Linked DNA regions of Xenopus tropicalis. The protein of the gene in region 1 interacts with the protein of each later gene in a biochemical or structural test. Links are inferred from orthologs where the notes say so. Each region holds a gene or a part of one and is shown on either strand. Other genes may lie near its edges.

Evidence for each region. The genes of interacting proteins can lie anywhere in the genome.
Region 2: the proteins of iqgap1 (region 1) and braf form a complex in vitro, tested with the Homo sapiens proteins (2 studies listed by BioGRID and IntAct). The link is inferred for Xenopus tropicalis from reciprocal best matches to the Homo sapiens genes IQGAP1 and BRAF.

The regions. Positions count from the first base shown.
Region 1 is NC_030679.2:106,915,084-106,922,611, forward strand, and holds the start of iqgap1 (ras GTPase-activating-like protein IQGAP1), read right to left. Parts: upstream 4,135-7,528; 5' UTR 3,798-4,134; coding exon 3,749-3,797; intron 1-3,748. UniProt on the Homo sapiens protein: Plays a crucial role in regulating the dynamics and assembly of the actin cytoskeleton.
Region 2 is NC_030679.2:5,554,075-5,561,632, reverse strand, and holds the start of braf (serine/threonine-protein kinase B-raf), read left to right. Parts: upstream 1-2,976; 5' UTR 2,977-3,065; coding exon 3,066-3,224; intron 3,225-7,558. UniProt on the Homo sapiens protein: Protein kinase involved in the transduction of mitogenic signals from the cell membrane to the nucleus. Phosphorylates MAP2K1, and thereby activates the MAP kinase signal transduction pathway. Phosphorylates PFKFB2.

The sequences.
Region 1 (7,528 bases):
GCTCTTCTTTCCTTTATCTATCGTTCTAACTATTATTCATTATATTATTCACTTTATTGAAATACCACTGTCATGCATGTTATAAAGTGATTTACAGAAACATTAGGCCTTGTTCCAGCAGAGCTTACAGTCTAAAATCCCTGACATACACACACAAACCCAGCCAATTTATTTAAGGATTGGTTAACATACCTGTATAATTTTGAGTAAGGGGGAGAAAACTGGAAGTACTCAGAGGAAATAGGGAGAACATGAAACCACCTTGCAAATAATGCCCAGGTCAGAACCAAGCCAGAACTGCAACAAGGTTGCAATACTAACCACTGAGCCACCATGCTGAGAAATAGAACAGACAGACAGATCCACAACACAAAGAGGTGCACACCAAACAATGTAAATATATTTATAAACCTAACGTCATCAGGCGCATGTATTGGTCAAATTATTGCTAAAAATTACAGCTACACAAACCCTATTAATATTTACAGTACAAATTACAATTTTCATTATTCATTACTTGTATCTTTTTTTAAACAGTGTAAAAAAATCAGCCTTGTACATATTAAGGTTAGTGCCACACAGGGAAAATTCCCAGTCTGCTAATAAGTGCGGGCCAAGAATCTGCCCCTATACTTTAAAAATCTTAGTTGTGCTTGCACCCGAAAGCATTGTTTCAGCCCTGGTGCAGCCACAGGCAGCGTATTTCAGCCCCGAATTGCATACGCAGTTTCTGGTTGAAATACCCTGCATGTGTCTGCACCCGGGTCAAAGCAATGCTTCCGGGAGCAGACACAACTTTCAGATTCTTCAAGCATAGAGGCGGATTCTCAAAAATGACATGCATATAGGTCTGCAACACAGATTAAAATGTGCTATCCTGCCGACCTGATATCTGCATGGAAAACAAAGTGGGCTTTGATGTGGTGAACTGAGCAGTTGGGAAAAGGAAAAATGATGTCAGACATACTACTGCTAGGAGTGGCCTGCATATGTTTGCCAAGATCCATTCATTAAAAGTTAACACCCTAGCCTGAAGCAAGTTCTCCTAGACACAATCCTGCCAAGTGTGGAGCAGCAGGCATGGCAACTCCAGCTGCTGGATGGATAGAGAGGACAGACCCTCACATTAGTCTCTGGCCCAGTAGAGCTTAATCTATGATCCCTAGGGGTAGGCAGAAGAGGCAGCTGCCTAGGGCTCAACAATTAGGGGGCTAAAGGCAGGAGCCTCTCCTGCCTACCCCTAGTCCTCCTCCTCTGTCATTGCCCCCACCGCGTGTCATTAGCGAGGTGCCCGACAGGGTTGCCTAGGGCGCCCAGTCGGCTTGGCCCGCCCCTGACACATAAGGGCGAAGACACACTAAGCTACTTAGTAGCAGCTACTAAATGCCAGAATATACCATGCCATAGACAATACTGAGAACTGCCTCTGCTAAAACACATGTAGAGACAGTTATCAGTAAATGATCATCATTTTAGTAGTCACAACAAGTAGCTGTGTGTTTCCACCCTTAGGGTCAGTTTCATTAGGAGACAAATAACCTGCTTGTACCTGCCCCAGAGCTTAATCTACGATTCCTATCATATTCTAGTGTGCATAACCAGAGATATACCCTTCCAGACAAGGACAGAGCGTATGCCTTCCTTGAAGATAAATTCAAAAATACCTAAGGGCAAGGGCACATGGGGTCGATTATCAGCCAGCATATAAGCACGGGATGACAATCCGCCCCTACACTACACCCCCACTACGCAGGCCGAGAATCAGCCCAGTGTGGCATTAGCTTTAAATGTTCCGGTCATTTGAATATAGGATAACAATGTTGCGTGATAAGGCTGTACACAGCTCTGTTGGGGGACATCAGTTAGCAAATAATGTTGTTGTAAGTTAAAAGCAGATCAGTGAATCTGTTAAATAGATAATGGTTTTGCTGATGCAAAACTGACTATCCCTCATTCCAGGCAGAAGCAAGTGATTGTATTCTTTCAGCTGCTGTGAAGGGCAGGGGAAGGGTGGCAGACAAGAAGGTCTGAAACCCAGCACAGACCCTTTTCCATGTGCCACTTGAAAATGAAATCCCAGTTGGTTAACCAATATTCTGATAGTGGCCCCTAAGACCACATGACAGACAGGTTAGTGCCTCTGGAAATATCCAGCAGCGTGGTTCACCTGGATGTCACAGCCGAGACTTGTGAGGCTATTCCCCACAAATACTGAATGTGTCATATTAAAGGTGACTTAGTCAACCAATGTAAAAGGTAACCAAGTGTAAAATTATCCTAGATCAAAATCTGTGCTTTGATGTGTTTGTGTGGAGAGGGTTGAAGGAAACACTGTTCGGTACATGTAAAAGTGTATAACAATATGATCTATTAACAGTTCTGCCATGATGGTAGCCGCATAGGCAACATTAAGGGCGAAGACACGCGTAGCAATTAGTAGCCGCAACTTAACTAAAATTTGTGGCGACTAATTCGCACAGCAAAAACGCAGCGAGATTAGTCGCAGCGACTTTTATAATAACTTATGGCAGGAAAGTCGCTGCAACCAACTTTTTAAAAAGTTGCATGACTAATCGCCACATGTGTCTTTGCCTTAATGCCAACTACTGCAACCTTAAAGGAAACATATAGGATAAATGAAAAAAAAAAAAACTCTTATCTTGTAGGCAATTATGAATAATAAATGGTGCTATCCATACACAATCAAAATCCAGCCAACCTCTACTGTATACAGTACTATAGGCAGCACTACCCTCCATACGCACTATACATAAGGCCTGCAGACAGCATCTAGCTCTCTGAGGATTATTTCATGATACCAAACCTGCTTATGAGCTCCAAAGACTGCCTTTTGTGATATAATAATGTCCTAATTTGGTCAATAAATGTCAAGTAAAATTTCTAACCAGCCCACAACCTGTAAAATGTCACATCTCTTACTTTGTGACTCCTGATCTTGCCCAACCCCACCGCTACACCAGGCCTCTCATACACTCTTTTCTTCTAAGCTATTTTGGGCAGGGCCCTTTAACGCTTTATTTTTGGATATTTAATGAATGCGTTTCATCCATGGGGGCCCTCTTTACCACTCTATTTTCCAAATCTATTCGGCATGTTTGATGCATAGAACCTTCCACGGCACAGTGCTGCAGAAATATTAGCTTTATAAACGCATGTTAATAGTTAATAATAAATGTTAGGTATCAGTTCTGTACAATGTGGGTATCAGTTCTGTGCAATTAGTACCAGCAGTGTATCTCAGCTATAGTTGCTGTCAGTCCCAACCCCCCCACACACACACTGCCCATGTTCCCTGCATGCAATAGGTTTGCCCACAGGTATCCCTCCCTTCCATATTCTCTCCCTGCACCATGTGTATGGTGGGCTGGGCTGAGAAGTTACTGTATAAATTGGATGAAGAGTACATACGCAGCAAGTCACTTGTGCCAAAAAGACAGAAACATGAAATACATGCCTGCCTACTCCCATCCGCCCCAAGAAGTTACCTTGCGGCAGCCCTGCCCTGCTTGCATGAATACAGGCGGACACTTCCCCCGCAGGGTGAGCTCCGTGGCAGGAAGCACTAGGGAAAGCGTCAGCCCTCTCCTCATCACTTTCCCACATCCAGCAAACAAGCAGCAAACAGAGAGAGGCCACCCTGCCCCGCAGCCCGTATACAACACACTAGTCCTGCAAGGGCACAGCCAACCCACTGGCCCCTGCCCATTCTAATAAAGGTACCACTTACAGCCATAGTGGGGACGAACGAGCCCATCTACTTCCTCCGAAACGGACATGGTGCTGGCAGATAACGTCCAGATCTGACCTGAACTAGTTTTATGCCCCGAAAAGGGCCAGGGATGGTGAGAGCAAATACCGCAGAGCCCACAGGAACACTCAGCCAACTTCAGAGGAGGTAAAAGAGATTCCTCAGTCACTGAGAGGGAGCCGGGTGTGGCTGCCCGCCCCTTCAACCACTCAGCCTATCAGGAAGCAGAATGACTGGGGCAGCTTCCTAAAAGTAAGTCTCTCAGTCAGATACACTTTGCATGGCCGGATCTGCACCCTTTGTGGGATGCCTGCTGAGTCAAATGGGGAAAAGTCATTCAGGGTTGTCATTTTTTTCATTCGACTATACTTCGCCCTGTGCCTCTTTGCTTTTCACATACAACTCAGGGAGTGCACTACCCGTTCTGCTGTAGAGAGCTGGGATGTTATTGGATCTATTCGGCAGTTTGACCAATCAGAGATCGGTTCTCATGCAGACGGGAATGGGCGTGTGAAAAGAAGTCTTTGCAGAGCGGCCAGACACTGAGAGAAGGGAAAGCTGGCAGGGAGGGAAGCAGCTCTGGGTTTCTGTCCCAAGCAGGAATGTAGAGAGGTGAGAGGGGGAGGAGTAGGTGCTTGAGAGATCACAGCAAGGTTATTATTTGTGACAGTGAGGTGGTTAATGACACCTGGTTTTATTATAAAATAGAGGAGGGAAGGTGAGTTCTCCTTGAACCCAGCTTAGTACAGGCAAGGTGATTATTTGGGGGCCTTTTTGCTAATTTACAAGCCTCTTAGCTCAAAGGCATTCCCTACATAGAGGGGAGGGACAGAAGGCTGAAGGTTGAAGAGGTGTCTCAGTGGACATTGGAGAGAAGGGGCCCAGTGAATGAGGATCAGATTGTGTGAGACTAGCTGCAGTAGTGTGACTTAGGTGTAGTAGGGGGTAGCTAGTATTAACTGTCCTAAGATGCCCTGCACTGAGATGCAGTATTATGGGGTTACTAAGGGCTGGGGGTAGCAGATATAACCTAACCTTGGACGGAAGCACCACTGTGAGGACCTTATTACACTCTCAACATATGAAGGCCAATTTCATTAGCTAATTGAGTATACAGGGGGGGCAGTCGTCCCAGGCCCAGGCAATCTTCACTTTTAAAGGGGGCCCGGCCATGCTACAGTTTTCTGACTAGCTTGGGCCCCTTTGAATCTATTACGGCCCTGTCATCCGTGACGTCAGTATGCACGGGCGCAATCTTATAAAAGGTCTCGCAGCGGAGCCCAGAGCTGCTGCCGTCGCAGAAGCCACCACCACTGCAGATGAAGCCGCCACAGAAAAAGCAGCCAAAGAAGAAGCCACAGATTGGGGGCACTGTGTAAGGGGACAATTGGGGGCACTCTCTTTGGGGGCCCTGGCCAGCATAGCATATGGGGGGCACTGTGTATGGGGGCCCTGGCCAGCATAGCATTGGGGGGCCCTGGCCAGCATAGCATTTTGGGGGCCCTTTTACTTTTTATGTCTGTGTGTCCTTTGTACTGATGGGAGGGGGCATTGAGGAGGGGGGCCCAGAAAATTTTGTTGTGACGGGCCCCGTGATTTCTGATGGCGGCTCTGTTTGTATCTTAGTAAAGTACCATCCTTAAGAACTTCACTGCCACATCTCAAGTAGGAACTAGCTAACACCTGCTGCAAGTTAAGTCTGATATTTGTTTATACAAACCAGAGCCAGGCCAGAAAGTACAGACTGGTACCCCAGGAAAGGAAACCTACTCGTTGCCCCCCCTCTTACCCAGTTCGCTCACCATCAAACGCCACTCCCTAGAGTTAGAAAATGCAACAGAGGTATCCTAGTGCCCCCCTTTCCCCTAGCCTTGAAACAAATTATTTTTGAATATCAACATGTCTTTCAGCTTCTGTTTCAGAGTTATTCTAAAAGTATTTACAACAAGGGTATGACTAGTGTCTTCATGTTATGTTAAATATGCAGCAGTTGACCTATGCACATTTTTGTCCCTTTGTGTAATAAATATGAATAATATATTTTGTGGTGCAGGGAAGATGCAATGGAAATGTCTGCCATCTTCTGGATGAGTGGTTGAAATTCACTTTAGAAAATAACTAAAAATCTTTCTTGTTTCTTTGAAAAATGTTCTAATTTTTATACTGCTATCCATCAATACAATACTAAAAGAAATGCATTTTATTAAAGTTGATAGGTTTGGTAAAAATACTGAATGGGTCTGCATACTGGGGATTTTGGGAGTCTAGATATTTATTATTAACTTGTTGCGGCAAAAATCACTATAAATTCAGTAGGGCAAATAAAAATATGGTTTAAAAACCCTCTATTGAAATGGTCATATATATATATATCAAATATTAGGCTAGGTACATGTGTTTCAGAAAAAAAGACTCTTATTTTAATAGTAGTGTCCCTTTAATAAGTAAGAGTGCTGGTTGCAAATGTTAAATGTAGTAAATTCTTTATCTCCTTAATTACTATAAAATCTGCATGCTTTCTAGAATCCTTTCTAGTTTTTTAATTATTTAAAAAAAAAATCTGTAGTTCTCAGGCTAGGAATTTAAACTATTATTTGGTTGATAGGGGTCAGTTACTCTAGCATCCAGGGTGCAATTTTGAAATAAAAAAAGATGAATACAAACTTGCCTGAAAAGAAAATAAGCAAGTAAATCCAAGAATGCAAATAATATTGAAGCCTCACAGTCAGGCTGTTGTGTGGTTGCTAAGGTTTGTAACCCCCAACAACAATATAGCGTTTTCAGCTCCAGGACAGAATGCCAAAGCAAGAAAGCTAATAATTCAAAAACAATGAAAATCAGATAAGGCTGCTTAGAATAGCCCACCTATAACATACTAAACATTAATTTAAAGGAAAATTTCAACTTTAATATAATTCCAGTGGCTTCTATGGGATATCAAGCAAATGAGTAACAGCTTTTACCTAGCCCCATAAATATAAGTTTTATTCTTACTTTGTTAAATAGGGAACTATGACATCTGATTCTCAAAATGATAGAATTCTCGCTTGACCTATGTCAAACTGAATAAAAATTGATACAATAAACTTATTTCTGAATTTAATATTTGTTGGAATAAGGGCAATTTAAGGACTGCAGCAGTACCAAGAAGGCAATATTACATGCATACATAATAAAAATGTAATTACAAAGCCCCTTTATTAGAAAGTACTGATATACATATTATTACACAAGATAACATGGAACTTTAAAAATCCAAATTCGAAAGGAGGTAGAGCTAGTCGTAAACCAAGATGGAGTGAGAAATACTTCTTCTACTCACGCTACAGCACAGTAAAACTCTGGAATGTGAAAGTTAGCGGCTTAACCAAGAAAAAGGAAGACAATAATGCCACCAAAACTAGTGTCCACTGACCTCCACCACCTCTTTCAGCAGAGCCAAAAAAGACATGATGGTGCCCAATCTGCAGGTCAAGTGCAAGACACTGACACAATTACGCCACAAAATCTTCAATTGTTGTTCCTCAATATAGAGAAGATGGTGAAGGCAGAGTATATAAAAACAACTAAAGAACTAGGTGCTGAATCACATCACTGGGTACGAGAGTCAGAGACCAGGAGAAATGACTAGACAATATTACCAACTATACTCATCAAGAGAATAAAGACTTGTGCTATACTCACAACTAGAGCATATCCACCATGTCCTAGGGGATGCTAAAAATTGGTCCCGCATCAGGCTGCAAAGCATTCCAGAGA
Region 2 (7,558 bases), about 100 Mb from region 1:
AATGGGGGGATCAGATAGGATCTGTGCCACTGTGACAGAATGCTCTGTTATACAGATAGCTAGAATCTCAGCCATAAAGCAGGGCAGGACTGCTGCTTACAATGGGGGGGATCAGATAGGATCTGTGCCACTGTGACAGAATGCTCTGTTATACAGATAGCTAGAATCTCAGCCATAAAGCAGGGCAGGACTGCTGCTTACAATGGGAGGGATCAGATAGGATCTGTGCCACTGTGACAGAATGCTCTGTTATACAGATAGCTAGAATCTCAGCCATAAAGCAGGGCAGGACTGCTGCTTACAATGGGAGGGATCAGATAGGATCTGTGCCACTGTGACAGAATGCTCTGTTATACAGATAGCTAGAATCTCAGCCATAAAGCAGGGCAGGACTGCTGCTTACAATGGGGGGGATCAGATAGGATCTGTGCCACTGTGACAGAATGCTCTGTTATACAGATAGCTAGAATCTCAGCCATAAAGCAGGGCAGGACTGCTGCTTACAATGGGGGGGGGGATCAGATAGGATCTGTGCCATTGTGACAAAATGCTCTGTTATACAGATAGCTAGAATCTCAGCCATAAAGCAGGGCAGGACTGCTGCTTACAATGGGGGGGATCAGATAGGATCTGTGCCACTGTGACAGAATGCTCTGTTATACAGATAGCTAGAATCTCAGCCATAAAGCAGGGCAGGACTGCTGCTTACAATGGGGGGGGGGATCAGATAGGATCTGTGCCATTGTGACAGAATGCTCTGTTATACAGATAGCTAGAATCTCAGCCATAAAGCAGGGCAGGGCTGCTGCTTACAATGGGGGGGGGATCAGATAGGATCTGTGCCATTGTGACAAAATGCTCTGTTATACAGATAGCTAGAATCTCAGCCATAAAGCAGGGCAGGACTGCTGCTTACAATGGGGGGGATCAGATAGGATCTGTGCCACTGTGACAGAATGCTCTGTTATACAGATAGCTAGAATCTCAGCCATAAAGCAGGGCAGGACTGCTGCTTACAATGGGGGGGGGGATCAGATAGGATCTGTGCCATTGTGACAGAATGCTCTGTTATACAGATAGCTAGAATCTCAGCCATAAAGCAGGGCAGGACTGCTGCTTACAATGGGGGGGGGGGATCAGATAGGATCTGTGCCATTGTGACAGAATGCTCTGTTATACAGATAGCTAGAATCTCAGCCATAAAGCAGGGCAGGACTGCTGCTTACACTTGGGGGGGATCAGATAGGATCTGTGCCACTGTGACAGAATGCTCTGTTATACAGATAGCTAGAATCTCAGCCATAAAGCAGGGCAGGACTGCTGCTTACACTTGGGGGGGATACCTGCTATCCCACAGCCCCAGTCCCTTCCCAGAAGACACATTCAGTTACTGGGAAGGAGTCTGTGAAAATAAGACAGGTATAAGGAGCTTTGTACATGGGGCTCTTTCATATAAACAATTATATTTATGTATACTATAGGTAGAACTATGAGCAGATGTGTATTTCCCTCACAATCCTAGCAGGGTTGTTGGCTGATCTCTATAACAGGTGCATATAAGGTGAGTGCAAGGTGTTATACTCCTCCCAGTGAGCATTTTAACAGGCAATATTTCCCCAGGGGCTACTGTCAGCTCTGAGTGTGTAATATGGTGGTGTGTTGAGCTATGTTCTAGCAATATTCACAATAAGCACTCACCCCAAATCCCCCCTAACTGGCCTTCAGGCTGGGCCCCCTTAGCCCATAACAAGGTTACAGATATATAGAAACATTGGGGTAACAGTCACCCCGCTATAGTTCCAGGGGTACCCAGGGCACAAATAAGCACTCACCCCAAATCCCCCCCTAACTGGCCTTCAGGCTGGGCCCCCTTAGCCCATAACAAGGTTACAGATATATAGAAACATTGGGGTAACAGTCACCCCGCTATAGTTCCAGGGGTACCCAGGGCACAAATAAGCACTCACCCCAAATCCCCCCCTAACTGGCCTTCAGGCTGGGCCCCCTTAGCCCATAACAAGGTTACAGATATATAGAAACATTGGGGTAACAGTCACCCCGCTATAGTTCCAGGGGTACCCAGGGCACAAATAAGCACTCACCCCAAATCCCCCCCTAACTGGCCTTCAGGCTGGGCCCCCTTAGCCCATAACAAGGTTACAGATATATAGAAACATTGGGGTAACAGTCACCCTGCTATAGTTCCAGGGGTACCCAGGGCACAAATAAGCACTCACCCCAAATCCCCCCCTAACTGGCCTTCAGGCTGGGCCCCCTTAGCTCATAACAAGGTTACAGATATATAGAAACATTGGGGTAACAGTCACCCCGCTATAGTTCCAGGGGTACCCAGGGCACAAATAAGCACTCACCCCAAATCCCCCCCTAACTGGCCTTCAGGCTGGGCCCCCTTAGCCCATAACAAGGTTACAGATATATAGAAACATTGGGGTAACAGTCACCCCGCTATAGTTCCAGGGGTACCCAGGGCACAAATAAGCACTCACCCCAAATCCCCCCCTAACTGGCCTTCAGGCTGGGCCCCCTTAGCCCATAACAAGGTTACAGATATATAGAAACATTGGGGTAACAGTCACCCTGCTATAGTTCCAGGGGTACCCAGGGCACAAATAAGCACTCACCCCAAATCCCCCCTAACTGGCCTTCAGGCTGGGCCCCCTTAGCCCATAACAAGGTTACAGATATATAGAAACATTGGGGTAACAGGCACAAATAAGCCCTGGGGTCCCTGAGGGAAATCAGCCCGGTTACAGACTGCTGTGTGAGGTACCGGCCCGTATAATACTTCAGTGGACGGAAAATGAATACATGACGTCAGGGATGCTCCGGGGTACGCGCTTACTGCACCTGCACAGCGGGGCGGAGCTAGCGGCAGAGGGTTCTCCCCGGTCTGACGTAAATAAACCCCCTAGTTAGCGCCGCCCCTCTGCTTTCTGATTGGACGCGCTGTTGTCGGGTACGCGCACGCTCAGTCCGCCCCTCCCTCTCCGAAGCCTGGGAAGACCTGGGTCGGCCGAGCGGGTGCGCGCACCATAGTATCCCTCATGCTCGCTCCCGCGCCTCCGGACCACTTCAAGATGGCGGCGGTAAGTGGGGGATCAACCGAGGGGCCCTCACTGCTCAACGGGGACCTGCTGGAGTCCGAGACCGGGGGACTGGGCGGAGCCGGCGAGATGTGTGCGTCCGGGGGGTACCCGGAGGAGGTGAGAGGGTGAGGGATAGGGGTGGAGTTGGGGAATGGGGGGGGCCTAGGCTATACTAATGTGCAGGGGTCCCCCCCTCAGCCAGTGGTTTATCTCTGTCCGGACTGTACCATTCTCCCTTTATAATAATATACGTACCTTATAGATCTATATATATATATATATATGTATCTGTCCCTCAGTGCCTGGGCTGTACCACTCTATATAATATTACCTGTACAATATATCTATATATGTGTCTGTCCCTCAGTGCCTGGGCTTTACCACTCTATATAATATTACCTGTACAATATATCTATATATGTGTCTGTCCCTCAGTGCCTGGGCTGTACCACTCTATATAATATTACCTGTACAATATATCTATATATGTGTCTGTCCCTCAGTGCCTGGGCTGTACCACTCTATATAATATTACCTGTACAATATATCTATATATGTGTCTGTCCCTCAGTGCCTGGGCTGTACCACTCTATATAATATTACCTGTACAATATATCTATATATGTATCTGTGTCCCTCAGTGGCCTGGGCTGTACCACTCTATATAATATTACCTGTACAATATATCTATATATGTGTCTGTCCCTCAGTGCCTGGGCTGTACCACTCTATATAATATTACCTGTACAATATATCTATATATGTGTCTGTGTCCCTCAGTGCCTGGGCTGTACCACTCTATATAATATTACCTGTACAATATATCTATATATGTATCTGTGTCCCTCAGTGCCTGGGCTGTACCACTCTATATAATATTACCTGTACAATATATCTATATATGTGTCTGTCCCTCAGTGCCTGGGCTGTACCACTCTATATAATATTACCTGTACAATATATCTATATATGTGTCTGTGTCCCTCAGTGCCTGGGCTGTACCACTCTATATAATATTACCTGTACAATATATCTATATATGTATCTGTGTCCCTCAGTGCCTGGGCTTTACCACTCTATATAATATTACCTGTACAATATATCTATATATGTGTCTGTGCCCCTCAGTGCCTGGGCTGTACCACTCTATATAATATTACCTGTACAATATATATATATTTATATATATATATATATATATGTGTGTCTGTGTCCCTCAGTGCCTGGGCTGTACCACTCTATATAATATTACCTGTACAATATATCTATATATGTATCTGTCCCTCAGTGCCTGGGCTGTACCACTCTATATAATATTACCTGTACAATATATCTATATATGTGTCTGTCCCTCAGTGCCTGGGCTGTACCACTCTATATAATATTACCTGTACAATATATCTATATATGTATCTGTGTCCCTCAGTGCCTGGGCTTTACCACTCTATATAATATTACCTGTACAATATATATATTTATATATATATATATATATATATATGTGTCTGTGTCCCTCAGTGCCTGGGCTGTACCACTCTATATAATATTACCTGTACAATATATATATTTATATATATATATATATATATGTGTCTGTGCCCCTCAGTGCCTGGGCTTTACCACTCTATATAATATTACCTGTACAATATATCTATATATGTGTCTGTGCCCCTCAGTGCCTGGGCTGTACCACTCTATATAATATTACCTGTACAATATATATATTTATATATATATATATATATGTGTGTGTCTGTGTCCCTCAGTGCCTGGGCTGTACCACTCTATATAATATTACCTGTACAATATATATATTTATATATATATATATATATATGTGTCTGTGCCCCTCAGTGCCTGGGCTGTACCACTCTATATAATATTACCTGTACAATATATATATTTATATATATATATATATATATATATGTGTGTCTGTGTCCCTCAGTGCCTGGGCTGTACCACTCTATATAATATTACCTGTACAATATATATATTTATATATATATATATATATGTGTCTGTGCCCCTCAGTGCCTGGGCTGTACCACTCTATATAATATTACCTGTACAATATATCTATAAATGTGTCTGTCCCTCAGTGCCTGGGCTGTACCACTCTATATAATATTACCTGTACAATATATCTATATATGTGTCTGTGTCACTGACTGTCTGGGCTGTACCACTCTATCTGATATTACATGTGCAGTATAGCTATATATATGTGTGTGTCTGGACTATACCATTCTCTATGTAATATATGTACAGTATAGACCTATATGTGTCACTCTTTGTCTGGGCTGTACCACTCTCCCTATAGAATAACTATATGTGCAGTATAGATCTGTATCTGTGTCTCTTGGTGTCTGGGTTGTATCACTCTTTATATAATATATATATATATATATATATATATATATATATATATATATATATATATATATATATATATATATAGATACACTATAGATCTATATGTATCTATCACTCTTTATATAATATTATTTGTACAGTATAGATCTATTTGTGTCACTCAGTGTCCGGGCCGTACCATTCTCTCTATAGATAATATTATTTGTACAGTATAGATCTATATGTGACTACTTTGTAGCAATGGAGAAAGTTACTTCTTTTATTTGAGTTTTTATAGCAAGGGAGAGCTGCTACTGTGTTGCACTTATTGTGAAGGGATAATGTACCCCCTACTGTAAATGATAAGGATATTCGCAGTCACTGAGGGGTTCTGTGCCCATATAAAGGCACAAGGCTGCAGGCTGAGTTATACAGGGAACTCTGAGTATCACTCATGTATTATAAGGGATAATGTACCCCCTACTGTAAATGATAAGGATATTAGCAGTCACTGAGGGGTTCTGTGCCCATATAAAGGCACAAGGCTGCAGGCTGAGTTATACAGGGAACTCTGAGTATCACTCATGTATTATAAGGGATAATGTACCCCCTACTGTAAATGATAAGGATATTAGCAGTCACTGAGGGGTTCTGTGCCCATATAAAGGCACAAGGCTGCAGGCTGAGTTATACAGGGAACTCTGAGTATCACTCATGTATTATAAGGGATAATGTACCCCCTACTGTAAATGATAAGGATATTAGCAGTCACTGAGGGGTTCTGTGCCCCCCATATAAAGGCACAAGGCTGCAGGCTGAGTTATACAGGGAACTCTGAGTATCACTCATGTATTATAAGGGATAATGTACCCCCTACTGTAAATGATAAGGATATTAGCAGTCACTGAGGGGTTCTGTGCCCCCCATATAAAGGCACAAGGCTGCAGGCTGAGTTATACAGGGAACTCTGAGTATCACTCATGTATTATAAGGGATAATGTACCCCCTACTGTAAATGATAAGGATATTCGCAGTCACTGAGGGGTTCTGTGCCCCCCATATAAAGGCACAAGGCTGCAGGCTGAGTTATACAGGGAACTCTGAGTATCACTCATGTATTATAGGGATAATGTACCCCCTACTGTAAATGATAAGGATATTAGCAGTCACTGAGGGGTTCTGTGCCCATATAAAGGCACAAGGCTGCAGGCTGAGTTATACAGGGAACTCTGAGTATCACTCATGTATTATAAGGGATAATGTACCCCCTACTGTAAATGATAAGGATATTAGCAGTCACTGAGGGGCTCTGTGCCCCCCATATAAAGGCACAAGGCTGCAGGCTGAGTTATACAGGGAACTCTGAGTATCACTCATGTATTATAAGGGATAATGTACCCCCTACTGTAAATGATAAGGATATTAGCAGTCACTGAGGGGTTCTGTGCCCATATAAAGGCACAAGGCTGCAGGCTGAGTTATACAGGGAACTCTGAGTATCACTCATGTATTATAAGGGATAATGTACCCCCTACTGTAAATGATAAGGATATTAGCAGTCACTGAGGGGTTCTGTGCCCCCCATATAAAGGCACAAGGCTGCAGGCTGAGTTATACAGGGAACTCTGAGTATCACTCATGTATTATAAGGGATACTGTACCCCCTACTGTAAATGATAAGGATATTAGCAGTCACTGAGGGGTTCTGTGCCCATATAAAGGCACAAGGCTGCAGGCTGAGTTATACAGGGAACTCTGAGTATCACTCATGTATTATAAGGGATAATGTACCCCCTACTGTAAATGATAAGGATATTCGCAGTCACTGAGGGGTTCTGTGCCCATATAAAGGCAATAAGTGCCTAATAATTGTCATAAAAATGTTCCGGTCCCAGAGAGAGATGAAGGAATGACCATAATGACAATAAAGAATGAGTTGAATTGTATATAATGCGCCTGAGCAATGTGCCAATATTCATTCCTTCCTCCCAGGGAGCCTTATAGCACACGATTAAAGGGGAAGTAAAGGTCCTATACTGCCAATGGGCAAAGCGCTGCCGAGTATTATTGGCGCCTTTGTGCCTCCATCCCTCTGC